Linked DNA regions of Rhinolophus ferrumequinum. The protein of the gene in region 4 interacts with the protein of the main gene of each other region in a pairwise test. Links are inferred from orthologs where the notes say so. Each region holds a gene or a part of one and is shown on either strand. Other genes may lie near its edges. The genes, in order: MXD4, MGA, MXD3 and MAX.

What was found.
Region 1: the proteins of MAX (region 4) and MXD4 interact in a two-hybrid assay, tested with the Homo sapiens proteins (2 studies listed by BioGRID). The link is inferred for Rhinolophus ferrumequinum from reciprocal best matches to the Homo sapiens genes MAX and MXD4.
Region 2: the proteins of MAX (region 4) and MGA interact in binary tests that used the Homo sapiens proteins (3 or more experiments, as listed by UniProt). The link is inferred for Rhinolophus ferrumequinum from reciprocal best matches to the Homo sapiens genes MAX and MGA.
Region 3: the proteins of MAX (region 4) and MXD3 interact in a two-hybrid assay, tested with the Homo sapiens proteins (4 studies listed by BioGRID). The link is inferred for Rhinolophus ferrumequinum from reciprocal best matches to the Homo sapiens genes MAX and MXD3.

The regions. Positions count from the first base shown.
Region 1 is NC_046288.1:86,854,792-86,862,173, reverse strand, and holds the start of MXD4 (max dimerization protein 4), read right to left. Parts: upstream 3,420-7,382; 5' UTR 3,270-3,419; coding exon 3,206-3,269; intron 3,099-3,205; coding exon 2,999-3,098; intron 1-2,998. UniProt on the Homo sapiens protein: Transcriptional repressor. Binds with MAX to form a sequence-specific DNA-binding protein complex which recognizes the core sequence 5'-CAC[GA]TG-3'.
Region 2 is NC_046289.1:63,755,298-63,763,026, forward strand, and holds the start of MGA (MAX gene-associated protein), read right to left. Parts: upstream 3,450-7,729; 5' UTR 3,327-3,449; intron 3,111-3,326; exon of another isoform or gene 3,031-3,110; intron 2,965-3,030; exon of another isoform or gene 2,949-2,964; intron 1-2,948. UniProt on the Homo sapiens protein: Functions as a dual-specificity transcription factor, regulating the expression of both MAX-network and T-box family target genes. Functions as a repressor or an activator.
Region 3 is NC_046307.1:5,312,891-5,321,418, forward strand, and holds the start of MXD3 (max dimerization protein 3), read left to right. Parts: upstream 1-5,220; 5' UTR 5,221-5,311; coding exon of another isoform or gene 5,312-5,381; intron 5,382-5,659; coding exon of another isoform or gene 5,660-5,668; coding exon 5,669-5,765; intron 5,766-6,468; coding exon 6,469-6,740; intron 6,741-8,528. UniProt on the Homo sapiens protein: Transcriptional repressor. Binds with MAX to form a sequence-specific DNA-binding protein complex which recognizes the core sequence 5'-CAC[GA]TG-3'.
Region 4 is NC_046289.1:30,901,642-30,909,441, reverse strand, and holds the start of MAX (protein max), read right to left. Parts: upstream 3,283-7,800; 5' UTR 3,067-3,282; coding exon 3,031-3,066; intron 2,311-3,030; coding exon 2,284-2,310; intron 1-2,283. UniProt on the Homo sapiens protein: Transcription regulator. Forms a sequence-specific DNA-binding protein complex with MYC or MAD which recognizes the core sequence 5'-CAC[GA]TG-3'. The MYC:MAX complex is a transcriptional activator, whereas the MAD:MAX complex is a repressor.

The DNA.
Region 1 (7,382 bases), on a different chromosome or scaffold from region 4:
GCCCATAAGGGAGCCTCTGAGACATGGATGCTTCTTGGGCCAGTGGGCAGCGGGGAGACGAAGCTGGCCCTTCCGCTTTCCTCCAGGTCATGGTCTGGCAGGAGTGGCTGCCCTGGGCCCGAGCTCGGTCTCTCTGGGGCAGTGGCCCATCTGCGGCTCAAGCCCTGCCCATCTGGCCCATTCACACAGGGGCAGAGTCCTGAGCCCCGCATGGGCAGTGCCCCAGCCATTGCCCTGTGGGACAGTGAGGTAGTGGGGCCAAGCTCCCATTTCCAGGTCACCCCCGCCCCCCAGGCCAGGCCAGAGAGGGCTCCTAGGCCACCAAGCCTGCCTCATATGAGAGCAGAGAACCAGGCCACCAAAACCTGTGTCCCCCAACCCTCACCCCTTCCTGGAGCTTCCGTTGAGCTCTGCCTGCCTGCCCTCACTCTCTCCTCCTCCAGGAACTTAGGCTTAGGCATCTCTCACCCCCACTCCTTGGGCCAGGGTGCCTCCCCATTCCGCCTGCCTCTGCCACCTGCCATGCTTTGTGGCCCACCACAGCCAATTGGGGCCCAAGGCTTCCCTTCCTCCCACCGGGGCAGCCGGCTCCTGGGCCTCCCTGTGCAGCCTCAGGACTGCATCCAGACTCAGGTACCAGGGGCCTCAGGGCCTGCTGGTCACGTGGGCTGGGCAAGGAGCCTCAGAACCTCTGCCAGGGCCAGTCGGGGCTGGAGGGGCACAGCCACCAGGCTCCTCGCGGGCCTGAACTGCAGCCCAGTGGTGTGGGTCTGTAGGTCTGCCCACTTGTGAGGGATGCAGGAGTAAGCAGGTGTCCTTCAATGTAGAGAAGCCCACCCACCCCCTCAGAGGGTGGGCAGGACCCTTCCCTGCAGGGAGAAGAGCCCCTCCTGGCCAGGACACACCCATGGGAGCCTTGGAGGGAGTCACCACACAGGTACCAGCAGTGCCTGTCACGGTCTATGCTTCTCAGGGTGGCCTCGGGACAGGTGAAATGCCCCGGCCAGAGCTGTGCTAAGTGTGTTCCTGGCATCACCTGGTTTGCCCCTCACTTCAACCCTCTGAGGTAGCTATTCTGTCCCCCTCCCCCCAGCAGGCTAGCTCCAGGCTCTCCTGCTGAACAACTGCCCTGAAAGCCCTTGCTGGAGCCCTCGGCAGCCACTGGGGCTGCTGTCTCAGCCCACACACGTTGTCCTCCTGCCCTACTACCCTCCCCTCACCTTGGTTCCAGCTGTGCCCATCTTTTCCCTCACCTTGGTGGGACACAAAAGCCTTCCAAGTGTGGGACTGTCCCGCCCAGTCAGAGCCCCGGGTCCTCCAGGCCCTGCTCTGCCCTAGCCCCTGCTCTGGGCTGGCTGAGGCCCAGCTGAGCCAGGACAGCCTCAAGGGGCGTCTCTGTGAGCCTGGGGTGGCTCGGGCACTGGGGGAGTCGGGCTCTGCCCACAGGAGCAGCAGCGAGGTGTGCCCCAGCCTGGGAGACCCTCTCGGTCCCTTCCAGTGCCCTCAAGGTCTCCATCCCGGCAGAACGTAGAGGACCAGGACCCACTCGAAAAAGGAGTCCCGAGGTGGGAGGGTGGCCTGGGCAAGTAGTTCAATCTTTCTCTGCCTCGGTTTCCTCAGTCCTAAAATGGAGATAAAAATAACGGCTCCTTCATGGGGTTAGGTGAATATTAGTTAGCATGTGTGTGAAACAGTATGTAGGAAGTACTCACACAGCCTTGGCTGTGATTCTGGTTATCTTTTTTGGGTACGCCATGCCATGGGAGTCCAAGATCATGTCTGGGAGCTTCTCATGGGTGGTATGGCACTTGGGACACTGAGAGCCCACAGCAGGGGCCTAGCTAGCTCACTGAGGAGGCCTGAGGCAGTGGTGCCCCCCACGCCCCCATGCATGTCTTTTCCCAAACTGTCCCCAGCAGGGGACCAGGGGCCGGGACTCAGAAGCATGTCCAAGCCAGGGCAGATGGAGACAAACAATTCCTTGCCAGGCCCAGGCGCCAGGACGTCACAGGAGATGAGTCCTTGTGCCAGCCTTTCTGTTTCCCAAGAACGGACAGGCCACAGGAATGAACCGCACCCTCTGCCAAGGGGCCCCGAAGCCCCCCAAAGTGCAGCTCCCAGCCTGATGACAGACCTGGTCTGGGCCAAAGTGGGCCCTGGGCAGTGTCAGGTGTCCTCTGGTCCTCCTGGCAGCCAGGAGAGTGGAACCCCACGGGAGCCCTAGCTGAGGGTCCCCACTCCCCACCCAGGGCTGTGCACCCCTGCTTCTGCAACCTGAGTGGAGGCCAGAGGACCAGAGACTCTGGTACTAGGAGAAGCTGCAGCATAGCACCCTGCCCCCTCTCTCTCCTCCCCCTTAAAAAGGGTCCCAAGTCCCAAAGAAGGAGACCCCTACACTTGTCACCAGTTTCACTTGTGTCAGGAGGCCGGCAGGATCGTGAGCACCATGAAGGAGTGGAGGCCCAGGGCAGGGCCTCTGTGCCGCCTTCTTTGTCCAGGCCACTGGGGGTGGGGGGTGGGGGGAATCAGCCTAGCAGCAGGGCTCGCCCCTAGGACACAGTCGGAGAGATGAGGCCCACCCAACCACCTGCGGTGAGCTGAGATCAGGGCGGGTAACCCCACGTTGCTCTGCACCAAGCCTCAGTCTCCCCAGACCCAAGGGGCACCGGCCAACACCCACTGACAACTTTTTTCCTGCCCAGAAAAGTCCAGAACAACTTGGGGGCGGGGAGCCGCTGCGGGAGGAGACCCCGGACGGCGGGGCTGTACGCGTGGCACTGTTTACGCGAGAGGCCGAGGAGGCGCGGCCCGCAGGAAGATGGCGACGGCGCGGGCGGGGCCGGGCGGGCGGGGCTGCGGCCGCGGCCCCGGCGTGCCTCCTCCTCCAGGCTGGCCGCCGGGGCGCACGGCGGAGGCCCGGCTGCGGGCCGGGGATCCGGGTCGAGGGAAGGCAGTCGGGGGGAAGGAAGGCCAGGGTCGGCCGCGCGAGGGGCGGTACCTGTTGTTCGGGGCCTTGCGCACCAGGCCGGCCGCCTTTGTTTTCTTCCTGGCGAAGTCGCCGTCGAAGGGCAGCACCGAGGCGTAGCCGTGCTCGGCCTCTGCGGACAGACGGTGCGGTCAGCGGGCCCTGTCCCGGTCCCGGTCCCGCCGCTGCCAGCCCGCCCGCCCTCCCGCGGCCCGGCGCACAAAGGGGCGCGGGCGCTACCTCGGTCCCTGCGCTCCAGGTACTCAGCCGCCTCCAGCAGGATCAACAAGGAGTTCAGCTCCATCCTCCGGCCCGCCCTTGCGCTCCGGGACGGCGGCGGCCGCTGCCCGGCCCACTCCGGCCGGCTCCGCTCGCCGCCTGCCCCGCGCGCCCGGCGGCCCCACTGCCCCGACTCCCGCGGACTCCCTGTGCGCTCGGCCGCCACCCTCCGCCTCCGGTCCTCAAATTGACACTTATGGGCGAGCGGCGGCCGGCACAGCCAATGGGGGCCAGTACTCGGGCTCCGGGGGCGGACGTTGGCCCCAGTCAGGCCAATCGGAACCGGCCGAACGCCTCGGGCCGGGCCGAGAATGTTGACAGATGCGATGCTCGGTTGGGATAGGCCCGCCGCGCTAGTAACAATTTAGAAGCCCAAGCTTAGCAACAGCACGTGGTGGCCCGGCCCCCGCGCTAGCTGACTGGCGGCCGGCGTGCATGTTAAGTAGTCGCCGCACGCCGATTGGCCCAGAGCGGTCTATGTAAAATAGGCACCGCGGACCAATGGCTGGCTGCGAGGCTCGCGGCCAATGAGGACGCCGCGGCCGGACGCGTTGCCGAGAGGAAGCAGAGCGCGGTGGGACTGCCCGACGCCCGGCCCTGCGCGAGGGCCCGTTAGGGCGCGGGGAGCGTCTGGAGCGCCTCTCTGCTCCCAGGTCTGCACACAGTGAGAGGGAACCTCTTGCCCCTGAGCCATCTGCAGCACTGGCTCCGCGGGAGCACAGGGCCTGGCTGTGACCTTAGTGGTCTCGCGTAGGGCTGCAAAACGACACCCCTTCCTGGGACGAAGAGTGATCCCAGGAGAGCCCGGGGCTTGGAAGAGGGGCGCAGACAGTCTGAGCCTAAAAGCCAAACCGCCTTGAGGATCTCAACTGGGAAGCTGAGGCCCGGGTGGGGTGTCTGTCTCAGAGCTGTCTAGCGGACCCCAGAGCTGAAGGAGGAGCTCTAGGCTTAGAGAAGCGGGGCAAAGATTTGCCGACACAACCTGGAGGGGCTCCCATGCGTGGAAGGCTGCGTGCTCCTGTCTGGTCGGAATGGTGAGGACTTTCGGAGAGGCAGGCGCTGGTGCCCTCTGGCCAAGGGAGCACATTCTGGGGAAGAGAGGTGCACTCCGTGGGAAGGGAGACAGCATCTCAAGCTCCCAGCTGGCCGGTGGCCCTGGCAACCCCTGACCCTAAAATGGCCCCATAGGAGCAGGGACTGGCAGCCCGGGGGCAGCCGCAGACTGGCCTCAGTCACCCTTGATCTTCCCTGTCACTGCTTATTAAGACTGGTGGCTGGGCAGCTCTTGAGGATGGGATTCCCCACAGAAGTTCTAAACTGGGGAGGGAGCACTGCTGCAGCCAACAAAACATAACAAAAACTACAAAAAACCTTGTGTGTTTCTGCATCCCCGATTTGCAGATGAGGAAACTGGGAATCCTGAGGTTTAGGGGTTCCCCAGGGTCTCCCGGAAGTCCCCATGGAATGGACATTAGTGCTCCTATATGTGTGACGCAGGGCTGGTGACACAGGAGTGCAGAGACCAGGCCACCTCCTGCCCCAGCATGACTTGTTGGGGTGAGCGCCACAGCTGTGTGATCTGAGAAATAGGGTGCGGAACGTGTGCCCCGCAGAGTGGCAGAACCCGGGGGGAGCTTGGACACTGCTCTCAGACAGCCCTGCACGGACATTAAAACAACCCCTTGATATTAAGGCCGTGCTTCCTGCTCCTGCCTGACAGCTACCCCACGGCCAGGGCAGAGCCCCTGACGAGAGCTGGGTGCAATGGCTCTCCGGGTTAGTCTGGAGGGCTGCTCCGGACGCAGAGTAAAGGAGGGCGCCCAACTCTGGGGAGGGGCAGGTGCATTCTGGGCTTTGGGGTGTAGGAGGTGGCCCCGAGCTCAGCACCTGCTCATCACTCCATCCCTGCCTATGTGAAGGGTGGGTTGCTGGCCTCAGTCCTAAAGCAGCACCTAGCCCTGCGTGGGTGCACGTGCCCCATGGCCACCATCCTTCCAGGGGTGGTGTGTGAGGTGCACCCTGTGCCACAGCAGGCAGCTCAGGTGACCAGGGGTGACTGTGGGAGCTGTGTGCCTGCTGTCTCCCAGCCTGAGAGCAAAGGGGGTGGCCCCCACCTGACCTCCATCTACATCTAGGCCATTTTGGGGATCCCTTCCCCAGCCACACCAGGTGCCCGAGGGGCTCCCCACCACCTCTGAGAGTCGGCACAACTGCACCACAGAGAGTAGGGGTGCAAGAGGGATGGGAGGAACGTGTGAACGAGGGGCTGGGAAGAAGGGCAGGGGGCCTGGTGCAGGCAGATGCGTCTGGGTCTCAGGCTGTCAGGTGCAGTGCCGCCTCGAGGACCAGTTCTGTAGGGCACGTCTCCAGCAGGTACCCAGCACCTCCTCCAGGGAACCTTCCCTGAGCCCAGGCCAGGCCAGCTGCCTCCTCACCTGCCTCCCTTTCCTACTCCTGCTCAGCCCTTCCTGCCCCTTATCTAGTGCAGGGACCTGTCCCAGAAGGAATCAGCAAAGTCCATGCCCAGGGAGAGGAGGCAGACACCTAAGAGGAGGCAGACACCTCAGGCCCCCCACTGGAAGCCCAGCCCTCCATCCTTATCTCCATTTAGAGTCCAAGACGGGGCCCAGCCCTGGGTGGGTGCTGGAATCCGGCAGCCCACAGCCTGCCTCTCCTCAGACCCCTGGGATGGCCTGTTTGGACAGCTCCCTGCAGGCAGGTCTGCGGGGCCTGGGGACAGAAGAAAGCCTAGCCTTGGCTCCCATGCTGAGATGCCTCGTGGGTTCCAGGACCAGGGGAGATTCCTGGGGAGCTCCTGTTACGGGTCCCTTCCGCAAAGCCACTCTGGATTCTAGTCTGGCCACAACACCTTGGCCAAGTCACTTAATGTCTCTGAGCCTCAGTTTCCCCAGCCATAAAATGGAGTTGACAGTACTTGCTGCTTGGGGAGGTGGTGGGGTACCCTGAGGAATGCATGGGCAGCTGCAGGCTCAGCACAAAGGGAGGTGGCAGGAATAAACATCAGCCCAAAATCAGCAAGTGCTTCTAACGCAGGCCTGCCCAGTCGCCATCGGTCAGTATCAGAATCATGGTCAAACCTGGGCCGGAGTGATGGCTGCTCAAGCTGGCCCGCCGTGGGCAGCAGACAGGCCTCTGAGCATTCCGGGGTCTTCAAGAAGTTTAACACTCAGGGAAAAAATGTCTCCAGAATACAAGAAGAAGACAGAATACAAAATCAAGATGTGGTTAACTGTCTGCACAGCCTAACATAATGCCAAAGTGGAGGCTTCCTAGTCTCAGGCAGGATGCCCTGAGGGCCTGGGCCCAGGAAACTCACGCCCAACTTCCCATCCCAGGGTCCCGGTCATCCAGCTGCTTCTACACCCAGAGGGCAGCAGGTTGGGCTCTGGCGAGGGTGACTTGAGCTGCCTCCGTCAGAGGGTGCAGAGGCCTTTCAGGTCACAGGGTCCTGAGTGATGGGGTTGGGGGACAGTAAGGTCACAGCTGTCACTGTGGCTAGGCTGTGTTACTGCCTTTGATGGAGCTGAGGTCCCAACAGTGGGGACCCTGGCCTCTGCCCCACCAACTCCTCCTCCCTTCGATGTCTAAACCACAAATCGGAATGTGTCCCCCCTGCTCAGAGTTCTGCCACAACTCGCCATTGCCCTCATGGCATTTGGTGCCTTATTCTCCATCTGTGTCCCCCCCACCCCGCTGGGAGCATCACCATTTCTCAAACTCTCAGGGCTGTTCTGGCCTCTAGCTCTGGCACCCTATTTTCCACAGACACACTGCCCACCCCCCAGGGCCCAGCCAGCTCAGCCAGCTCCAATGGCCCCTGACCTGCAGACCCCCACGGGCAGGCAGGTCTGGAGTGTCTGGGTACCCATCTTTGCCCAGTTCAGGTGCAGGCTCCAGCCTGGGCTGCCCTAACCGTTTGGGAGCAAACGAGCACAGCAGCAGAACCAAAGCCTTGCTGGTGTTTAAGTCTTTGGCGTGACATTGTGTTTGAGCAACTGCTCCGTGCTGGTCTGGAATCACTCCTCCCATCTCAGAGGCAGGAGAGGCTGACAAGTTCGCTGATCCCTGCAAAGGGCCCCGGGGCTCTGATGGGAGAACATGTATGAGGGTGGGCTGG
Region 2 (7,729 bases), about 33 Mb from region 4:
AACATTTATTTTTTAAATTAAATTCATCCAAAAAATTCTACCACTCAAATAAAATCACTGGTTCACATCTGATGTATACCATTTTAGACTTCGCTGTTAGTTTACATTGATGTATATCATTTTAGACTATTATGTAAATGAACACATATAGGTATATTCCTACAAAAATGTGATCCTACTACACATAATTTTGTAACCTATTTTTTACACTTAACAATATACATAATACTGTGCTTTCCAAATAATTAGTAGAAATCTGTATCATGTCTACTAGCTAAAAGGTATTACCTTCTATGAGGGCACTTTATTTATTTAACCAATCCCCTATTATTCAACACCTAAGTTTTTCCAGTTTTTGCTTTTATATAAAATACTACAAAGACAACTCTTAAATGAAAATCTTTATAAAGTACCAACCAGTCCCTTAACAAAGAAGAGGAGCTGCTGAGTCAAAGGACATATAGGTTTTTAATGCTTTCATAAGTACAGCCAAAATGGCCTCCATTAAGGATGTTCATACATAATTATCAATCAACGGCAGTGTATGAGTATGCCATTCCCCCACTCCTATGCCAATGCCAAATATGAACATTTTATTACATAGGTGCCAATCTGCCAGACAGAAGGACGAAGTTGTTGTTATTTGTTTATAAGTGAAAAAAAAATGTATTTTCATCTTTATTGGTTATTTTTATGTCTCTGTGTGTGTGAGAGCTACCTATTCATGTCTTTTACCGCCATTAGACATTAAGGTCATTAACGTAGGTCCAACACACCGCGCAAGATTTTTTTCCCACAATTTGTCTGGCTTTACTCATCATTGGATCCCTATACCTGAAAAACTGCCTGGCACATAGTAAGCACTCAATAAATATGTTAAATGAATACTGAATTAATAAATTTGTCTTTTAACTTTATGGTATTTTTGCCAACTAGAGGTTGTTTCGTGCAATAATTCTATCAATCTTTGCCTTTATGAATTCTGCCTTTCTGTCATGCTTAGAACAACTCATCCTATTCCAAGATTGGAAAATTGTTTACCCACTTTTTAAAGTAGCAATTTTCTAACTTCACATTTTATATTTAATTCACCTGGATTTTATTTTATTTACATTTTAAGGTACAATTCCTTTTTTTCAAACAGCCAATTGTTCCAACATCATTTGGAAATTTTTTCTTAACCTATATGAAATGCCACCTTTATAGTACTAAATAGCCTTATATATTTCTAGGTTTATTCTGTTCCACTGCTCTAGTCCAGAGTTACTACTTACTGTTTTGATTATCACAGCTTTATTTGTATGGTCACTAGTGTTAAGAGCCCTCCTCACTTTTCTCTTTCAAATTTTTTCCTATTTTACAGGTTCATTCTTCAAAATAAACTTTTGACTCATTTTGTCAAGCTTTCAAAAGGCATTCTGGCTGGAATTCTGTAAATTACTTAATCTCTCTGTTGCTATTTCCCTCATTGGTAAAACGGAGATAATAGTACTTATCTCATACGTTTGTTATGAGAACTAAATGAATTAAGACATATAAAGTAATATGCTAGAAAGATGTTAATTATTACTCTAATTGCTCAAAAGTGACAACTATCATTATAATGATTGCTCGATAAATGTTTTCCAGATTGTGCTCCCACAAAATTCAAAGGCTCTTTAAGATACATCAAAGGGTAGCATGAAACTGAAAGAGTGATATGAAAAATATATAATGTATGCCTGCTTCATTTCACTAAAGGCCTTGACCTTTGGTTAAATGAAGAGCTGGAGCTGGGAGCAGAGAACCATGAAAAATACCAAAGGCTAGTGAGAGGAAGCCTCAATTTTTTTTATTTTTTTTTATTTTTTTATAAAGATTGGCCCATCAAGAGGAGAAGCCTTATGGGGCATGAGCAAGTCTCTTCTAATTACTTGTGTTTCCCCATCTCCATAGTGACATAGTGATGACAATACTATTATCTCAATTTCTTTCCAGAAACACACAGGGACTAGACGTCCAAAAGAATAGTTTTCAAGTAAGAAAGTGGGCAGGTACAAAGTATAAATGCTATTGATAAAAATGGACAGATATGCCAGATTCTAATAACAAATTACCTTCACTAAATTCCCACATCAACGTAATGATGAGGGAGGGGATGGTTATGGGGTTTTTCTTGTGGGGAGATGCGATTGTCTCAGTTAATAATTTGTTCACTGTTCTTTTGTTATCTACATGACATTGGGATGAGGCAGAGTCATACACCATACGAAGGACCTTAAAGAAACAATCTCCCATACGAAGGACCTTAAAGAAATAATCTCTTATACAGAGCTAAAATATAAATGACAAAATGGAGGCCGAGAGAGGCAACATGACTTGCTAATTACAAAAGTAGCTGAAGGCTTAGACCCCTGGCCTCCTAATTCCCAGACCTCAGACCTCGGCTGATTTCACCACACCACACAGCTTCTCGCCGAGGTTTGCCACGCTTCGAGGTGGGAGGAGTAAAAGCAAGCAATCTGGCCGCAGCGTAAGGCGCTGGAAACCCACAGGACCGCACAGTCGACAGCACGTGACTGGCCACGCCTCTCTCTTCTCCCACCCTCCCCCTTCCCCGCGCCAGCAGCACGCGCTGCCAACCTCGTCATGTGACCTTCACGCGGCCCCAGCGCTCCCCCTGCTAAGAGACTTGTTTCCAGCAGCCATTTTGCCTTGAACTTGTCGTCCGTGTTCACAGCGGAGGTGGACGCCACTAAAACCCGTGGCCAGATTTTACAAGCCGCACACGCGCTTCGAAAGAGCGCTCTGGCCGTCAGGGCTGAGCCGAACCTCACTGAACACGTCGCACCCCGGGGCGCCGGGGAAAGCTGTGGGTGCGCCTCGGCCTGCGATTGGCTGTGGCGTCCACGTGATGCCAGCCCCCCACCCCTCTCCTTCCCCCTACCCACAAAAACACCCAAACATACTCTTAACACCTCGCGCCAAGTACACGCCACTGGGCGCGTGGGGACGAACGGGATGCGTGGCAACCAAGGCGCCTGCGCGTACCTGCCGGGCCGACCGGAGCGGACCCACGCGCCGCGCCGCTCTGCTCACGGGTCCGGGATTCCTCGCGCTGCTGGACCACCAGGCTAGTCATTGGCTGCCAGCTTTGGTCACGTGGTCAACTCAGGCCTGCCCCTAACCGCTAATCACCTGGCACCGTGCTCGAAGCGGCGCTGAAAGTCTTTCGCACGCGGAAAGGGAGGGTAGTTAGAGGACCTCCTTTTCTGCCGTTAGGGGATGGCATTCACAAAGGGGAAACGAGGAAACAGGGTCTCAAAACTAAGGAAGCTCATACCTACCAGTTTAACTTCGCGTGCCCCTCCAGGAGCCGGGAACCATCGCCCTTGGGCGCTCCCCGATGCACGCCGGGATACGTCTGGCGCCCCTCGGTGTGCTGCAGAGCATGCCGGGAAAGGCACCTCTCCCGATTTCCTGGCTCTCACCTCCCGGGCATTCCTTTCACGTCCCCTTGAAAGCCCGGTCCTTCGGCTTGGAATGAGGCGGATTGAGTAATTATGGGAGTGTAACTGGATATAACAGGCACTTTCAGTCCCCCTCCCCCCACTTGTTCCATCCGTGTGGTCTTGGGGAAACCGCTTAACCTTTCTTCATAGAGCATGCATTTAGTAAGTACCTGCTGAGTGCCTTTGTGAATATTGCAAAAAAAACCAGCAAGGGTGTTTGCCCACAAGTAAACTACCAGCCTTTCATGGTCAGTGGAAAAGAATGCTAATTTATATACAACTTACTTAAAACCCCACTTGGGAGAGGAAATAACACCTTGAATTTCTCTTGGGACAGAAGACCAGATCTTCCTTGGTAACTTACTCCTCTTGTTGAGGTAAATGGGGGTGGACGAAAGAGGAGTCATTTTAAAGGGCCCTATTACAATTTCTGGTTCAAGCTAATACTAGCTATGCATATTGGAAGTGAGAAAAACACCATCTGCTAGCGCTGAGAAAAGGTGGTCTTACATCGGAACGCGTTCATTTTGTAACCTATTCACAAACCGGCCTCCAGGTCAAAACTTAATATTCTACTCCCATGAAGCCCCCAATTAAAACAATTCATATCAAATCTCCTCCACTTTGAACTTCTGTCCTCAGTTTTGCGGATTTCAAAACTTTGGTCTTTCAGTTAAAGGGATGATCAAGCATGGGGAATTTGACTACCACCGGTCAGACTCACAACAGTGCTGATTCATAAACAAGGAATTAAATGTATCAATTTAAAATATGATTACCAAGCCAAAATATAGTTTCAGACACCCTTTTCTTGTTTCAAGATATTTGATGAGCCTAATTAATTATTACACAATTGTTTCCTGACTAGAAAGTCAAAAGAAAGGGAATTAGACTTCTGAATATTTATCCAAAGAATATGAAAACACTAATTTGAAAAGATATATACATACCTATCTATGTTCATTGCAGCGTTATTTACAATCGCCAAGACATGGAAATAACCTAAGTGTCCATCAAGGAATAACTGGGTAAAGAAGATGTGGTATGTGTACACACACACACACACACACACACAAACACACACGAATATTACTAAGCCATAAAAAAGATGAAATATTGCCATTTACAACAACATGGATGGACCTTGAAGGTATTATACTAAGTGAAATAAGTCAGAAGAAAAAAGACAAACTATATAATGTCACTCATGTGGAATATAAAACAAAAAAGAAACAACAAATAAAATAAAAACAAACTCACATACAGACAACAGATTGGTGGTTACCAGAGTGGGAGGGGGGGTACAGGAAGGGCAAAATGGATAAAATGAGGTCAAATGTACGGCAACGGATGGAAACTAGATATATACATGCTATAGTGTATACAGATACCGAATTATAATGTTGTATATCTGAAAATTACATAATGTTACTAACCAATGTTACCTCAATTAAAATATAATCATAATAAAAAATATAAAAAAGGGAATTAGATGATCAGATAATAAAACCATTAAACTATATCTATGTTAAACTTGAAGTTTATGAAACATTCCAATATACTTTATTACACGAAACCCTAACAACAACCCTGAAAGAAAAGTACTATACTAATATTACCATCTTCTGAGACAATCTTGAATGGGAAGCTGGCAAATGTGTTTTAACATAGTCTCCAGGCACCTGGAATGCACAACTAGATTTGGGTTCTACTGGCTCTAGTGGAAAGAGCCCAGTCCTTGAAGTCAAAGCCATCTGTGTGAACTTGCAGTTCTCTCACTTACTGTACTTTGACCTTGAACAGGTTTTTGAATGTTTGAGGCTCAGTTCCTTGAACTACAAATTGGGGCCAATCGTACCAAGTCTTTGGATTATCATGATGATTCTGAAATAAAAATATTTAGAATACCTGTCGCCGTCCCTGATGAATAGGAGGCACTCTATAAATAGGAGTACTATTTAGTGGCAAAGTTGTATTCTAACCAGCATCCTGTATTCTGTCCAGTATAGCAGACTCTTGAATCCTTTTTTCTCCACTATTCTGTTTCTCCCCTAGACAGTGCTAGAGGCACACTAACAAATTCTAACACTGCAGATTTCTTTTAGACTTTTTAGTGACTGTTGCCCATCTGTTGGTACATATTGTTACATTATTTCCTGCCTTCATTTCAAGCTTTTTCCTTTTTAACATATTAAAATGCTGAACTGTAGACATTATTGAAGTAAAATAATGATGATACAGAGATGCTTAGAAGGTGGAATGGGCACCTGTGCCTACACTTCAAAGAGGTTAAAATTGTATATATTTAAATATCTCAGAGTAAAGACACCCTCAAAACTCACTTCTCTCTTCACTTATGTAACACAATGTTTTCGATGCTCCCTTCCCAGTCTTCTTCCAGTGGTTTCTTTTCCTCTTCTAGCTTCACCATTCACTCCTAACCAAGGGAGGATTTAGATAGGGCAGAGTTTCCCATACACATCTGAAATTCAAAATTTCAAATTAATTCAATTAATTCAAATTAATTATCTGTCCATTTACCTCACGCACCAGCTACTACCGTATTCCCTTAAATGGGCAATGACACCACTATTCCAATAAGTCTCCCGGTCCAGGAAACCTCCGTTATCCTTAATTGCTCCTTCTCATCTATTTTCCGCTTTCAATGGTTACAAAGTCCTGCTGGTTCTCACATGTAAACGTCTTTTAAATCCAACACCTACTTTCCATTTCTTCCACCATGACATTAGTACAACCCTTATCTCTATGAGACCCTACATATATAAGTATTTCATTATAATGAGAATATCATGTTAAAGTTGATTTCAGAATACAAAATTTGTCATCTATGTTGTTTTACAATAGACGAGTAAAAGGTTTATAATGTCCTACACAGTGAATGTCCTTAGTAAGGAGGAGTGAAATATTTTTTTTAATATAAGCAAATGTATCTAAATACATATAGGAAGTTATAAAGTCTAGAAGTTTGGGGCAAATATTTTACTGAGTGCTGAAGAGAATTAGTTGTGATCTTGGAAGTGATTGTAGATATTTTTGCTATTCTCAAATATTTCTGGTTTTCCCAACTTTCAACAACAAAATATAATTGCTCTCCCTGGCTCCTTTGAAGTTCGGAGTGACTGCTTTGGCAATGAAACGTGAGTGGAAGTGGCATGGAGTAGTTCTGAGAAGAAGTATTAATCCTAGTGCACAATTCAGCCATTTTCTCTTTCCTTCTCCACAGCCACAAGCAATGGTAGTTACCCCATCAGCCTTGTTCCCATCATATGGATGACACAGAGCAGTTACCCCAAGCCAACTAGCAGTGAACATATGTCGTGAGCAAGAAATAATTTAGCTTGCTTTAAGAAAGACACTGAGATTTGGGATCTTCAGTTATCACATAACCTTGCACACACTGAACGATACAGAAATGAAGGAAGTTGCTAGAGGTGACAAAAATGTATTCTGTTAAGGAAGACCCCCATTGCCAATGTACACGATGTGATACAAATTTAGAAACATAAGAGAATAGAAGACTCTAGCAGCATGAGGGGACAACTGCCTGAGGGTGGTGTAAAAGAAGAGCCTGAAGAAAGAATACTCATTGGAACCTTGCTTTTCATCTCTCCCTACTACATAATCCATTTTTTACAGACCAGCCAAAGTGATCTTTTAAAAGTATTAGTGAGATCTTATGACTCCTCTGCTTGAAACTGGCCATGTTTCATATTACACTTACCATTAAATCCACACTCTTCACCTTGGCCTGTAAACCCTAACTGATCTGGTCCTTGCCTACTTATCATTTTATGGTTTATACACACACCCTTGATCACCATTATCATCCGTACTTTATGGCCATCGCACTGGTTGTGCCCTCATCCTGGGATGAAATCCATGTGGATGGATCCTTCTCAGTGATTCTCATCAACTCAATGTGACTTTCTAAGAGAAAGGTCTTAGTTCACTACCCTAGGTAAAGTAGACTCCCTCCATCTACCCATCATCTCTAATTTATCACCCTGTTTCTTTTCTTTATGGTACTTCTCCTTATCTAAAACTACATTATTTGTTGTATTGTTTCGCTTCTGCCTCTACCCAAGAGAACACAATCTCCATGAGAATAGAGGCCTCCTCTGTATTCTCAATATCTTGAACAGTTCTGGCACATGACAAACAATCAGCAACAAAATACTTGTAAACCATGTATATGATAAGGCTTTACTATCCAGAAT
Region 3 (8,528 bases), on a different chromosome or scaffold from region 4:
GACAAAGGCAATGGGTATTTATGAGAAGAGGATGGGGAACAATTACGTCAGTAGATGGAAGGCATTTCTATGGGTGTTAAAAAGCTAAGAAAGGAATTTCTATAGGTGCAGATAAGCTAACATAGTGATGCTAATTCTAAAGAATGTCTTCAATATCCAGTCTGGTAGTCATCATGTCCGCTTTCCTGTTATCTTTGCAAACAGTTATTTGGAATACAATGCCTTAGACCCAGTCCAAAATTTATTTTGCCCAGGTTTAACATTCAAAGTTTTGAGGAGTAAGATGTGCAAGGCAGTTCCTTTGAGATGGCAGTTCTGCCTCTATTTTAAAATGACTCCATTTACATTATTTTCTACAAAGGGTATAATGAATTCAGTAGTGAGTTGAATAGTGTCCCTCAAAATTTCATATCCACCCAGAACCTCAGAATGTGACCAAATTTTGAAATAGGGTCTTTACACATGTAATTAGTTAAATTAAATGAGGTCACATTAATTAGAGTGGGCCCTTATCCAGTGACTGGTGTCCTTATAAGAAGAGGGGAATTTGGACACAGAGAGACACAGGGGAGAAAGCCTTGTAAAGATGGAGGCAGAGTTGAAGTGATATGTCTGCAAACCAGGGAATGCCAAGGATTGCTGGCAAACATCAGAAGTGAGGAGAGAGGCCTGGAACAGATTCTTTCTCAGAACCCCCAGAAGGAACCAACCCTGCTGACACACAGAGTTTGGACTTCTAACCTCCAGAACTGTGAGCGAATAAATTTCTATTGTTTTAAGCCACTCAGTTTGTAATATTTTGTTATGGCAGCTCCAGGAAATTAATACACATGGTAATGAGCTATTCTGGGATGTAGCTAGAAAACTTGAAAAAATGAACCAAATGAAAATTCTAGATCTGAAACATACAATAGCTGAAATAAAAAGTACAATGGATGGGCTAAACAACAAGTTGGCTGCTAGAGAAGATAGACAAAGTGAATTTGAAGACAGGTAAGCAGAAATTATCTACACTGAAGCTGAGAGATTTTTAAAACTGAAAACATTAACAAGCATCAGTTACCCTTGAGATATTATCAAACTGGGAGATGGACATGAAATTGAGGTCAGAGTAAGAGAGGAAATAGAAAGAGAATAGGGCAGGAAAAAATATTTGAAGAAATAAAGGCTTCTTCAGAAGCTCAAACCACCCAAGCAAGATAAATACCAAGAAAACCACACCCAGGCGGTTGCCTGACCTTTGTCCTCAGGTTTTAGGAGACATCCTTTTTTCCCCACTGGGGAACCTTGGGCTAGCCAGGAAGTAACAATGTGACAATCAAAGATAAAGAGAAAATATTAAAAGTGGATAGGGGAAAGAGACATTACATATAGGGGGGAAGATAACAATTCCAGCTGACTTAGAAAAAAATGCCAGTCAGAAAGCAAAAGAGTGACATAATTCAAGTGCTGAAAGGCTCCCAACCTAGAATCTTATATCTAGTGTAAATATGCTTCCAAAATGAAGATGAAATAAATTTATTTTCAGATAAACAAATGTTGATAGAATGTGTTGTCAGAAGACCCACATTACCAGAAACTCCAAAGGAAGTTCCCCATTCCCCAGGAAGACTGACCGGAAATGATGCCTGCTTAAACGCAGCTCTACAGGATGAAGTGAAGGATGCTGGAAATGATGTGTGTAGTGGTGAAATACAAAAGACAGTTTATTCTTAATTTTTAAAAAGGGAATTGACTGTTTAAAGCAAATTTGTAGCAATGAGTTTTAGGATTTATAACATGTGTAGAAGTAAAATATATAACAACAGTAGTAAAAAGAATGGTAGAGAGCAATGGTGTATGTTTTTTACATTACATGTAAGATGTTTTCTGTATATATTATACATTATAAAATGGTACAGTATTAATTCAAAGTATACTGCGATAATTTAAAGACATATTTTATAATTCTTAGCATAACAACTTAAAAGAGGTACAGATAAGAAGCCAATTGTGGATACACAATGTAATGCTAATAAAGACCCAAGTAACCCGAAAGAAGCCAGAGAAGAAGGAAAAAAGGGAAAAGGACAGAGGGGACAAATGCAAAATAAAAATCAAGATAATAGACCTTAAACTCAACCGTATCAAAAGGATTTTAGTAAATGCAATTCAAAGACAGAGCTTATCAGACCACAGGGAGCGAAAAGCCCCAATGATATGCTGTGTTGAGAAAAACATGTTAAATATTAAAGACTTTAATAGGTTAAAAGCAAAAAGATAAGGAAAAAACTTACCAGGAAAACAGTAATCAAAAGAAAGCTGTTGTAAGGTTGGCTGGATGGCTCAGTTGGTTAGAGTTTGGTGCTCTTAACAATAGGGTTGCCGGTTTGATCCCCACATGGGCCACTGTGGGCTGCCCCCTCCACAGCTGGATTGAGGCGATTGCTTGACTTGGAGCTGATGGGTCCTGGAAAAACACGCTTAGATAAATAAAAATTAAAAAAAAAGAAAGAAAAAGAAAGCTGTTGTAGCCTTAAAGAAAGGGAGATTGCCAAAGATAAAAAGGGATTTTTCATAATGCTAAAAGAATTAAGTCATCAAGAAGATATAACAATCATAAATGTATACTCGTATGTACTTAATAATAGGATTTTGCACTATGTAAAGCAAAATATGTCAGAACTAAAAAGATAAATACAATCCCACAGTTATAGTTGAAGATTTTAACGTTTGTCTCCCGGTTATTGAATAGAATAAGCAGCCAGCATAGCCACAGGTACTGTGGGCAGGCAAAGCCGAGCGGTGGGGCGTGCACAGGGGCCGCAGGGCTTCAGTGTTCAGGCTGACTGTGCAGAACCTGGGGGGTCTGGGACAGCGGTTCTAAGACCAGTCACTGCTACGGGGGCAAGAGCACTGGAGGTCTTCTGCTTGGTCCTGCGCCCAGATGGTGCTAGCACTAGCATTTTCTCAGAGGGGCCAGAGGGGCATCCAAGGGTTTGGGGCTGGAGTGCCATCATCCCCACCTGCCCTGCTCCCTGGGAGGTATTGCTTCCTGTCCCCCTGGCTGGCGGCCCTGAGCCATATTCATGGGAGGCTTGACCGTAGCCTCCACGTTGTTCTTAGCTCGGATTCTACTCATGGCTCCTAGGATGAAGTCCAGACTTCTCAGTGTGGTCACTCCAGCCTCCCGGCCGCCCCTATCTCACTTCCACAACCTCCCGGGAGTGTCTCTAGCTATGAAAGTGTGCTTCGCTTCCTCCCTCTGCTGGAAACTCTCCTCCTTCAGAAGCCCGCTCTTCATCTTACCCTCACACAAGGCCAGGCCACCTGGGTCCCAGATGTCTGACCAGTGGGTTTGTGTCTGCACTGTGTGGGTGCTGACTTTAGTGAAATCAAATTGGAAATTAATTCACAAGCCTTGACTCCTTTCTTTAAACATAGGTAATTGTGTGTGGGGGTCTGCAGAATCCATCAGCCTGTTCTGGACCCTGCCAGCCTCTCCAGGGCCGGCTTTCACCTGCTCTTTGCTCTCTCTGTGCTAGCCACAGTGGCCACCTTTCAGTCTGCATATATTCCTTTCAGCCTCTGGGCCCCTGCACCTGCTGTTCCTGTGTCTGGAATTCTCCGACATCTCTCTTATACATAGATAACAGCTTTTCATCCATTTCCCCAGAAAAACCTTCTCTGACCTCCCTGATTAGGTCAAATGCTCCTTAGGGTGTACCCTTTCAGTGTCTGTCCTGCCAGGAGCTGTCAAAGCTGTATCTCTATTGTGTCCACCTCTTTCTTCCTCTGTGATTTCTGCAAAAGCAGGAACCCCATCTGATTTTGCACATCATTCTAATCTCCAGCTCCAGCACAGTGCCTGGGGGCCATTAAGTGCTCAGCAAATACTGGGGGAGTGAAGGGCTGGGTGAATGGTTCAGTTCTTGGCCAAGCATGTCAGTGATTCCTCTAGGGGTGACTCTTAGAGAAACTCCAAGGTTTTTCCAAGGAGGCGAAGACTGACCGTCATGTGCCATGTGTTTACCCAGCACTATGTCTTTATAAAGAATCTAGTCCCTCCTCGTCCACCCTCTCCATTGCCCGGTCACTGACTGGGCCCGCCTGGCAGCCTCCGCACTTAAGTCTGTCACTGTGCTCCCGGGTGTGGTGCTGGTGCTGCTCCTAGACGTCACTGCAGCTACTCCCTCGGGAGGCTAGGAGGTCACTAGAGTTCTGCGGGAGGGAGAGGCCTGCGTGTAGTGCCCCGAGCCATAGAAAGTTGCACCTACCTACTGGGCGGCACAGGCGTGGGCTCTGAATCGTCAGCAACGCTGTCGCAGGGCTTCCCGAGCTTTACAGGAGGGAGGTCACTTCCCAAGTCACGGAGCTGAGAAGCAGCGGTGACAGGAAAGGAACCCAACTCGGTCGGCTCCAGAACCCAGGGCTCTCTAGCCAGCCGGTTCGCGTGCTTCCAGACTATGGCGGGGCTCCGGAGGTCGGTACACTACTACATTTCGTAGTGACAGCAGCTGTCTTGCAGGTGAGGAGGAGGAGCCAGGAGACTATTCCCATGAGCCACAATTGGGAACCTGAGGTCCAGCGGGGCCCACAGGGGCAGATGGCCAGCAGGCCAGGGCACAGACCCCGAAGCGCGGAACTGGATCCGCGCCCCCTCCCCCGACGCCTGCGCACTGCGGCCCCATTCCTCGCTCAGCCCCGCCCCCACCACAGGGTTTTCAAATTTGAAACCTGCTTCTTTTCCCGCCCGAAAGTGTTGACCAGCGGCGGGAGAGGGCGGGGCCGCGCGTAGCCAATAGTGCTTCAGAGGCTCCTCGGCCCCGCCCCGAAGGTGACGGCAGTTCGCCGCAGGAGGCAACCTGCAAATGGGCTGGGGCGCCCGCCCGCCCCGCCTTCGCGGCGCCCACGTGCAGCGGCCGGGCCAGGGACCTTCTGGGGACCAAGGGCCCCCAGAGCACCTTCGCTGTGCCCGGCCCTCGCCTCCAGTACGGGCTGGAAACTGAGGCCCAGAGACGCCAAGCAGCCAGTGCCGGGTCACTGAGCAAAGTGAGCTAGACACATCAGCCCCTAGCCCGGGAGTTCGCCCTAAAGCCGGGCCTGGAGCTGGCGCCGTAGCGTCCCCGCGAGAGTCCAAGGGGGCGAGCTGCGGTCCCGGCGCGTCCCAGAGGGGCGGGGCCAAGAGCTGGGCGTCCCGGGGGCGGGGCGTCCCGGGGGCGGGGCTGCGCGCCTGTGTTTGTTGCACCGTGTCAGTTACATTGTAACAAAAGTGGTGCAGCCGCCCCTCCCGCCCGCGCCCCAGGCCCGCCTGCCGCCAGCTGTCGCCGACATGGAACCTGTGGCCAGCAACATCCAGGTCCTGCTGCAGGCCGCCGAGTTCCTGGAACGCCGCGAGAGAGGTGAGGCAGAAGAACCTTTGGCCGGACTCCAGGCGGCGACTTCGCTGACACGGGCCTGGGTTGGACTTGGCTCCTAATTGGAAGGATGCATGCATGGACTTGGGGCAGTAGCCCCGGGACACCCCCACTTTCAACTAGAGAGGGGTCTGCTAGTGGTTGGGCTGTGAGGGGTTGGGGAAATGGACCTGGCGCCAAAAGCCCCTCCCTGACTGTGCCGTGCCAGGGGCGCCCGCTGGTACCAGCCCCAGCTTGACGCGGGTGGGGGCTCTTTCTGGCAGAGGCTGAGCATGGCTACGCATCTCTGTGCCCGCACCGCAGTACAGGGCCCGTCCACAAGAGGAGGAAGCGATCCCCCCAAGCTCCTGGCGCGCTGGACAGTGGGCGGTGAGGAGGGCTGGGGGTGACGGGGCGGGGGTGGGGGGCGGTGCGCGACGCCCCTTCTCGGGCCCCTCCTCGGCCCCCTTCCTCCTTGTTGCTTGAATCTTCTGGGCCAGGTACCCTACTCTGGAGACATTCAGACCCCTCTTGCCGTCTCTCCACCCCCCCAAACACACACCCTTCTATTCACTCAAGGACTATTTCTTGAGTACCCCTGATATGCCAGGAACTGTGAACAAGGGAATTCTGGGTCCTGCTTCCACTCACGCTCCTGCGCTCCACCTATCAAACCACTCTCTTTATCCCACAGGCTTCCTCCTTTTCTCTCCTTGTCTCAACATTTTGCACGATGTTCCCTCCAATTTGAGTGCTTCTCCCTTCACTACCTGCTTTGGGTAGCTTGTGTTTCCGGCTCAGCTCACTTGTCCAGGAAGCCCTTCCTGACTGCTGGTAGGGGGCTTCATTTGGACCTCACAGCCACCATGGGCAGGCCTCTCTCAGCATTTGCTGCCCCCACCTACCCACCCACCCCATGTGTCTCTGCTACCATCTGGCAATTCAGGTGCCTGAGGCCAGCACAAGGTCCCCACACTGAGCTAGTTGGGGGCAGGCATCTGTAGTGAGTGGGTTTTGAGCCCCTGGGAGCCTGGTACTGAGGGTGTGGGCAGCAGCCGACACCCCTTTACCCCATCCTCCCCGGCATTGGCAGGTCTGTGCACAACGAGCTGGAGAAGCGCAGGTGAGTACCAGCCCTGCCCTGACAGCACCAGGCCCCAGGAACCGCTCCCTCTGGCCTGGCCTTCCCTGCCAGCCCTCTGGCCAACAAGACTGGACTGGCACTGCCCTCCAGACCCCTTCCCCTGCAGGAGGGCCCAGCTGAAACAGTGCCTGGAGCAGCTGAAGCAGCAGATGCCCCTGGGGGCTGACTGTGCCCGATATACCACACTGAGCCTTCTGCGCCGGGCCAGGATGCACATCCAGGTAAGGGGCTACCCTCGCACCCTGGGGCCAGCTTGCCAGGACGGGTGGAGAGGTGTAGTAGGGAGAAGCTGGATGGAACTGGAGAGAGGCCTGAGGTCATAGCCCCTCTGTGTGACAGGGAACAGTTCTCCGTGCTTTTTTTAGTTTCCACATTTTTTTAAATGTGAAGAAAAGCAAAAAATAACTCAGAGGATTGTTCTGAGGCTTAAGCTTCAGTGTTCACCCAGTAAATGTTCACTGTTGTTTTTACAGCTATTACTCCTTCCATCCCAACTGTAAGGCCCTGGGCCAGGCTCTTAGCCTCTTTGGACTTCCTTTCCTCCTCTGTATGGGGGACATGGCTGTTGGGTCATGTGTAAGGCCCCCCTGGAACTATAGTGGGGTGGTCCTCGCTCTTCCTCTCCCTGTCCTTCAAGTCCTGTTCTAGGCAATCTCTCCTGAAGCCACTTTGGGAGGCAGCTCCAGAGGCCAGGAGGGGGAAGACTCTGAGAGGGACTGTCACCCTTGTTCCCAGAGCTCTGCTGCTGCCCCCTGGTGGACATGAGTGGGGTGTGCTGACTCAAAGCTCCAGGCAGTGGGGATTAGGAGCTGCGTTGGAAATAACAGAGGCCTTTCCTGGCCCTTTTGTCTGGGGAAGAAATGGAGGCACAGCCCGGCTTATGAGCGGCAGATTCAGAACTCAGGCCCAGGTCTTCTGACTTGCATTCTTTCCTCCAACAAGTATTTATTGAGCACCTGCTCTGCCAGGCCCTCCTAGGCACAGGGGGTTGTGGCGGAAACAGCTGGATGTGCCATGTGGCAAATAAATCAGTGTGGGAATTGTCCGCACTGTCCCATAGGTGCCTGAGTTCCTGTTATGGTGGCTGAATAACACCGTGGCTGGATAGCAGGCCCCAGTTTGTCACATGGAGCTTGCCTGGCCTGGTTCTCGGAGGGACGGTGTGCCCCTCAGGTGCTGACTGGCTGGTGGGCAGGACCCAGGGATCGCTCCTTCCTGGAAGCCCCATCACCCCTCTCCTGGACTCCCAGCTTCCTGGTTTGCCTCCACCAGGCTGTCCTCCACCTTGCCTTAGGATGTTGTTTGCATCACATAGATCTGTCCAGGTCTGTCTCCTATGAAAACCTTCCATGGCTCCTGACAGGACAGTCTCAGACCTTATTTCCTGTGAACTCAAGGCCCTTTGCAAGTCAGGCCTTGCCACTGGCCTTTTTTCGTTTCATCTCTTCCCCATTCCCCATAAAAAAGCCGAACTCTCTGTGCTCTTCCCGGTCTCCCTCTGCCCGGCTGCTTCTCCTCCCCCATCTTCACCCAGGCAGCTCTTACTCATCCTTCTACACTCAGTCCCAATGCCCCCTTGTCCCGTGCTCCCCTTCTTGTTGACTGAAGGCTTCTGCCCACTGAAGGCTCTGACGTGAGAACCCTTGGCCTTCCAGTTCCTGGTACTTGGGCTGGCAGAGCTCTGGTGGGGGTCAGGGGAGGAGATTAACACTGAAGCCTTAGGGATCTTGGGGGGGCCTTGACCAGGAGTTACAAACTGGTAGCCTTTTGTTTAGTCTGTAGTTTTCTAAACGTTTAAATTAGTTGGCAGCACTTAAAAGGGCATTTGACATGAAACATCTGACTTTCCAGCTCTCTTAAAGAAACTGGGAGATCTGGCAGCACTGGGCGTTTCCACGTGGCAGTAACTGGCTGGAACCTGGAGGTCGCCTTCTCCTTCAGCTGGAGTACACACTTGCCAGTGTGCCATAGTTTGTCCCTCCCATCCCTGTCGCTTGATACCAGCACCC
Region 4 (7,800 bases):
TCAGTTTCACTTTCTGTTAGGTAGCTTCACTTCCTAAGGCTGTTCTTGTGGAGTATCCTACATTTTTCATGTAGTAAGGCCTTAGCTACTATAGTGACATTATAAAGCACAAATGTCTCTTTCTACATTAGGACCTAGCAGAACCTTTGCCAAGTAACTTTTTAAAAAATTCTTCTATAGTCCTAAATACGTACGTAGTTATTCACACTCCACATCCTTTTCTGAACGAAGGTAAAGCTTAAGAATAGCTCCCCCTAACTTTTAAATAATACATTTATTATCTATGCTAAGTGTCAGGAACACATATTCAGAGAAAAATAATGTAATCCTTTTTACCCTACATGTTTATAATTGTTTGATACACTATAAAATTTGTCTATGGCTTCTTCTCTCCATGCTACTGTAATTTCCTGTGCCAGATAATACTGAAAAGTCTCAGCAAGTAGATGTCAAATTAAAAACAAAGGGTCAAACCCACTCCCTTTGCCCACCCACCAAAATCAAAGAGAAAAATCGTAGGCACCTTAACAACAAACTCAAAATATATCTAGACAAAACAATGAGATTAGCATTCTAGGAGAGTGGAAACATTTTAATAATTTAATAAAGCAATTTACATCAACGCCCATGTGGATGAATACTTTGAAAAGCAGAAAGCTTTCAAGAACAGTAAGCCAAAATTTCACATGGAAAACTTTTCCCCCACTGAAAAGCCAATGTAATTCCAATTCAAATAATAATTCCAATTCAAATCCATATCCTCCAACCCTGATCAAACCCTGGAGCAGATTTTATAGAGACTTGGAGAAAAAAAGATGTTTTAAATAGACTGGGTCCCAAGCATGAAATTCCACGTTCACATTATTAATGGTAATAGTAACTGATAAAAAAAGGAACTGAATTTTCAAATATATATATAAACTTCAGTATCTGACAATACTTCAAGGAGAAATAAATTTTTTTTAGTCACTATTAGCCAGGGTAATTTTTAATTTTTAAAACTCTATCCTCAGATTTTTATTGAAATATCAGCTCTCAATAAATAAAACTTTTCTTAATGCTGATCTGCTTGGACAAACTGCAGAATTTTTGCTTGCTCTAATGAAAGTACCAGTAAGAGGGCTTGCTTTTATCCTGTGGTAATTAAATTCTTAGACCAGAGGTATCAAAGTGGCATCCTGCAAATTCTAGTAAGCCTCCAAACAACCTGATTGTCCCACACATCATTTTAAAAATCAGAAAAATAACACGTACCCCAGTCCTGCCCTCTGCTCTCTACTTTATTTGTGACTATCTGCCTGCCTAGGTCCCCCAGAGGCATAGGAATTTTTGACCACATTCTATACACTTACTGTTCCCAGCTGTCAAACAGTGGACACGCTAATATACTTATTTCTTTTCCCCTCTGATTCTGATTTTGTGTCTGTTCTTTTTTTCTTTCTCTCATCTATTCATGGAACACCCACAGGACTGTCTCTGACTCCAAAGATATTATTAGTGTATATGTATATCAACATCTGTATCTATATCTACATCTGTATCTACATCCATAGAACCATCTACTGAGAACACTAATACCAAAATCCTGACAAATTATTGATGATATTGTATGGTTTCAACCATCACCTTTTAGCAAAACTACCTCTGCAATGCCACCTTTCTTTAATTATTTTTCTATTTTATCTCTCTCCTTCAACTTAAACATCATCAGACTACACAATAAGCTGTATGTGACTCTCATATTCAACCTCTGGCTCCTCTACATTTCCAATTTCTGTATTAGAATAATACCATGGTGTGTTAGATTCAGTAAGTCTACAGCAGTCACATGACTTTTGGTTAAAGCCGATCACTGCATGTGGCTCCAGCTTCAAACAACTAGATAGATATGGTTTAGAATCGATTTGTTCCCAAGTAAATCTTTCGACCACTCTGCCCTGAAATCATACAACTTACTTCAGAATGATGCATTTCTCATCTACAACTTATATAGTGACAGCTAGATTCCTCCATCAGAAAACTTTGGAACGATTCATTCCTTTGCATATATCTTCTCTCACTCATCCGGTCACCGCAACTTGTCACCTGAGAACCTAAAATTATGAGATTTGCAAACCCACCTCCCCACCTAGAACCCCAGAACAAGGCCCCAACCTCACCTTAGCGATCAACAGGAGAGTTTACTACATTATTAAAAGTAATAGAATGATCTTTTTCTCTCTGACCCCAAAAAGGATTAGAACTGAATGGAAATGAAAATGAAATGGAGAGTAGGAGACGTACCGCAGATTGAAACCTCGGTTGCTCTTCCTGGAATAAGAGAGAAAAAAAATAGAAAATATAGAAGTTATTTTTACACTTCACATTCATTAAAGAAAGAAAATGCCGGCGGCGGAGGAAGCGGCGGGTGGGGAGTCAGCCCGACCTCCCTCCCTCCCCCACACCCCTAACCCCCCCAGCGGGATCCGGTGGCGGGATAGGGGGGTCCCGAGCGCCGCCCCTCCTTCCAGGATCCGACCCAGGCTGGAGGGAACCAGAGCACTGTTTCCTTTCCTCGGACCCAGCTCTGGGCATCTGGGCACTCCCAACCCCTCACCGTCCTCCCTCACCCCCCCAGGATCCGCGGGTCAAGAGAGGAGGGGATCACGGACCGATGGGGCAGGTCCTGAGCGTCGTCCCCTTCCCTAGGGTCCGGACAATGGGATCCCGGCGCAACCCGTCCCTGTCCCCCGGATCCTGAGCGGTATAGGGTGGGAGCGGGAGGCCGCAGCACCCTCCTCCACCGGGGGAGGATGAGGGTCCTAGAGGCCGCGTATCTCCCTCCCACCTCCAGGCTCAGAAGGCCGCTCGGGCCAGGAGCCCGGAGGGGAGCAAGCCGGGAGCGCGACGGAGGCGGTCCGAGCCCGGGGGGCGGGGGAGGGGAAGGAGGCGGCTGCTGCCCGGCCCCCTGCCGCCGTCACCCCGCTGAGAGCCCCGGCCGCAGTCCCTGCCTGACAACCCGCAAGGGAAGGAAAAAATCCCGGGACTCACGTCGCTCTCCACCTCGATGTCATCGTTATCGCTCATTTCCTACGGCCCAGGGAGCGGCCACTGCAGCGACGACGGGGAAGAGGGAAGGGTGGAGGGGAGAGGGAAGTCACCGACAACAACAAGCCGAGTCCCCACACACACACACTCACTCACTCACTCACTCACTCTCTCACTCACACACACACTCAACACGGGCGAGAACCACCTCCTCACTGCAGCACCAGATCAACGGCGGCACGCACGCCCGGTCGGCCCCCTTCCACGTGACCAGGCTGGTCACGCTGGGGCCGCCGAGACTTGTAGTTCTCGTTCTTTTGACTGACGGCACAGCTAGCGCCAAGAAAACTACAAATCCCGTAAGGAACTGCAACTAGTCGACGCCAGCCCAACTTGTTGACGGAGCCCAGAGCGCCTGCGTGTCCCATGGAGTGGGCGGAGAGAGAAGCAGCGCAGTGCCTGCTGGGAGTCGTAGTCTGCGACTCCTAGTTGTCAGGAGGTTTTCTCCCGAGGCAGCCGTGGAGACTCCTGGGAAGAGAGGACACGTGGAGGGAGTTGGAGCTCCTGAAGCCGGGCACGGTCTGAGCGCCGGGCGCCGGGCCCAGGGGACAGGGTGGAGGCTCTGGGGGAGTAGCCAGCTTCCTAAATAACGCTGTCTCTCCTTGGTGCGACTGGTTTTACTTTGTCTTCTTAATTCCTGAGTCTCCCAGCTTTGCGCCCTGGGGCGTAACCCGCCAGCTGGGGATCCTGCTGCGGCAGACTAGGGGACGAGGCTCGGGACGTCCACGAGAAGGACCCTGAGGATCTGGCTATGAAGATGTGTCAATGTCAGGTGTTAAATAGTGTTACAGGACCTGCAGGATGACCGGCCTCACCGAGGGACAGCTGCCAGAGGCGAAAATCTTTCCAAATGACCATCCTTGCTACTCACGTGAGGCTCATACATTCCCAGACACCCCACCCCCCACCCCTAACAACCGTTTCTGTGGAAGTAAAAGCCTCTTCTGAGTTTGTTGCAGTCGAGGCAGTTTAGGGAGTGCCCCAGTTCAGAGTACCATAATTTAGAATTGCAAAAAGTATCAAAACGTGAAACTGCACCTCCTGTCCATTTAGAATCATATTTAGATACGGTGGCATGAGGTGTCATTGTATCCATTCCACCAATATTTATTGAACACCTACATGTGCCAGCATGGGGATGCCATAATGTATCAGACTGGAACTGTCCCAGACTTCATGCTGCTCACAGCTGTGGAAACAAAAATGAGACTACCCTGCTGCCATTTTAAGAGTGTACATCAAGTCCCACAGGAAGAGAAAACAAGACACTTTCACCCCTGACAGAAACAAAGTACCCGAACTACTCTTTTACATCTGGTCTCCAAAATGAATGAAATCTTGAGCTTTTCTCTTAAATTTCTGATTCCCTCATGAAAACCATTTTATCCCTGACTTTTGAATACAGAAGTTTGAGGATATTTGTCACAACCTTTGTGACATACATCCCCATATCATTCGTGCTGAAGAGACATGTAAATGTGGTAATCTTTACATTTTTTTCCCTTTAAATAACTGTTGTATTTCTTATTCAGTGATCCAGTCCTACTGAAGTTTGCACAGCTTTGCAAGTAAACATCTTTTCTAAATGCGTTTGTCTCCTAGTCTTCTTTCACACTAAGTGGGGGAGACAGACATAAGCAGACCATTATGATATAAAAGCTGATGGGCTATAAGGGAGACAGGGAAGGTAGCTCTTGCATGAGTTAGTTAGCTAGATATTAGAAGTTAGAGCTAATTCATGATCACAACAAACAATTATTGGGTGCCAGTTATGTGCAAAGCACTACAGGGCAACACTGGCTACAAGTTAAAATCACTCCAGGGCTATTAAAAATTCCAATGCCTTGGCTGCACCCCAAACCAATTAAGTCAGGACCTCTGGGGGTGAGAACCAGGCAGCAGTATTTTTTTTAAAGCTCTGCAGGTGATTCCAATGTGCAACCAAGATGGAGAACCAGTGCTACAGAGGATGCCAAGATAAATAAGATAGTGTTCCACTGAATCGTGTACTTTACAAGAGCGAATTTTATGGTTTGTCAATAATTGTATTTCAATAAAGCAGTGATATAAAACATAGGATAATCTTTGCCCACCTGGAATCTAAAACCTGATAGGGGAGTAAATTATGAATACAAATAATTGCAGTGAACACAAACTAAGTGTTAAATTAGCTACGCAGACAGTGAATGCTGTAAGAGCTCAGAGGAGGGAGAAATATTTCCAGGTCTGAGGTGGGGTGGGGAGGTATTGGTGATCAGGTAAGTCTTGTTAGGCTGTCAGCTCCATCAGGCTAAGGATGGGATCTGCAGAGACTGGATCATATTTTGGTGAACATGAATCCTCAGTTGTTGGATGGAGGCCTGGAGAAGTAGGCAGAAGTGATGAGGAAAGTCTTTCCAGATAGAGAGACTGGTGATTTTAACAGATATCTTTTTAGTAATTGATAGAATATGAAGACCTATCAACCCAGGTAATACTTTTTTTTTTTTTTTTTTAAGATTTTATTGGGGAAGGGGAACAGGACTGTATTGGGGAACAGTGTGTACTTCCAGGACCTTTTACAAGTCAAGTTGTCCTTTCAATCTTAGCTGTGGAGGGCACAGCTCAGCTCCAGGTCCAGTAGCCATTATTAGTTGTAGGGGGCGCAGCCCACCATCCCTTGCGGGAGTCGAAGTGGCAACCTTATGGTTGAGAGGATGCGCTCCAAACAAATGAGCCAGCCGGGAGCACAGCGGTAGCTCAGCGGTACCTCAGCTCAAGGTGCTATGTTCAATCTTAGTTGCGCGAGGTGGAGCCCGTCATCCCTTGCAGGAGTCGAGGAATCGAACCTGCAACCTTGTGGTTGAGAGCCCCCTGGCCCATGTGGAAATCGAACCAGCAGCCTTTGGCGTTAGGAGCATGGAGCTCCAGCCACCTGGTCCACCAGGCCGGCCCCAACCCAGGTAATACATTTGACCTAAGACACATAAAACACTGCACCCAAAAATTGTAGAGTATATTATTTTCAAGCTCTCATGGAACATCTATAAAAATTGATCAAAAAAAAATAAAAAAAAAAATTGATCACATTCTGAGCCCTACATCAAATATCAACAAATTTCATAGGACTGTGATCTTAGAAGACAAGTTCTTGGACCTAACGCAATTAAAGTAGAAATAATAAGTAAAAGATAACTAGAGGGGCCTTGAGCTGAGCTGCTATGGAGCTCCTGGAGCTCTCAGTTGGTTGGAACACGTCCTCTCAACCACAAGGTTGCCGGTTTGACTCCTGCAAGGGATGGTGGGCTGCGCCCCCTGGAACTAACAACTGCAACTGGACCTGGAGCTGAGCTGTGCCCTCCACAACTAAGACTGAAAGGACAACAACTTGACTTGGAAAAAGTCCTGGAAGTACACACTGTTCCCCAATAAAGTCCTGTTCCCCTTCCCCAATACAATCTTTAAAAACAAAACAAAAAACAAAAACACTAGAAAATCTTCACACGTTTGGAACTTAAGAAACACTATTAAGTGACCCAAATAGAGGTACTTTCACAGGCAAAGCATAATAGCAGCAAAGAATTAGACATACGAGAACATACATTTCCTCTAGTTTTCCTTTTTAGTATTTTTATGATGTGAATAATAATCTAGGACTCTTAGAATTCATTTGCATCTCTGCATGCGTGTCTTTGGTAAAGCCCTATGTGAGCTTCTCAAGACTGGGACTTGTCACTGGGCAGCCCAATCTAGCTCCTTTCTACTTCAAGTTTGGTCCAATGGTATCCATATCACCAGGGAGCTTGTTAGAAATACAGGCCCCATCCCAGACCTACTAAATCAGACCTGCATTGTAAGACCGTGTTTCCCCGAAAATAAGACCTAGCTGGACCATCAGCTCTGATGCATCTTTTGGAGCAAAAATTAATATAAGACCTGGTATAATATAATATAACATAAAATAACATAACATAATATTGGGTCTTATGTTAATTTTTGCTCCAAAAGACGCATTAGAGCTGATGGTCCGGCTAGGTCTTATTTTCAGGGAAACATGGCAGTATACCCAAGTGATTCATATGCACATTAGAGTTTGAGATGCTTTGATGAGCGAGGATATTCCACAAAAATGTTAACATTTGTCTCTGGGAGGTGGAATTTCCAATGATTTTTCTTTTCTTTTTAAGTGAGCAGTATCATTTTCACCAAAATAGCAGAGCTATTAAAAGACAACCACTATCTCAGTAAGTCCGTTGTCTTTCCTAAGCAGCAAACTTCTCAAGCCACAATCCTCAGGACAATAGTCCCATGCTTTCCCTATGTCATTTACGCTTGCTTTTTCCTTTTTTTGGGGAGGAGGTATAACTTCAAGGGTCCCAGAAGGAACCAGCTGGCACATACAAATTAAGATCACTTGAGGAGTTTTTTAATAACGAGATTGTTTAGAAATATGTGGGCAGAGTGTAAAGAAACTACAAAGGATTCTGCAGTACCACTGGGGCTCTGTGCCCACCCCTAGGCCTGTAGAGGGCAGGGAATGAGTGGTTATAGAGTTATGGAGAGGGCTATATGGAAAAGGCCCTCTGACAGGAGCTGAGACCTGGAGCCTAGGGCAATTGGACCTGGAGGGCCAAAAGGAAGATCTCTGGGGCACAGCAAAGGATGCTTTCCCCCTCACATTTTCAGAGAGGGCTGGGAACTTCCAACCCTCCCGTGTGTTCTCCACCCTGTAAT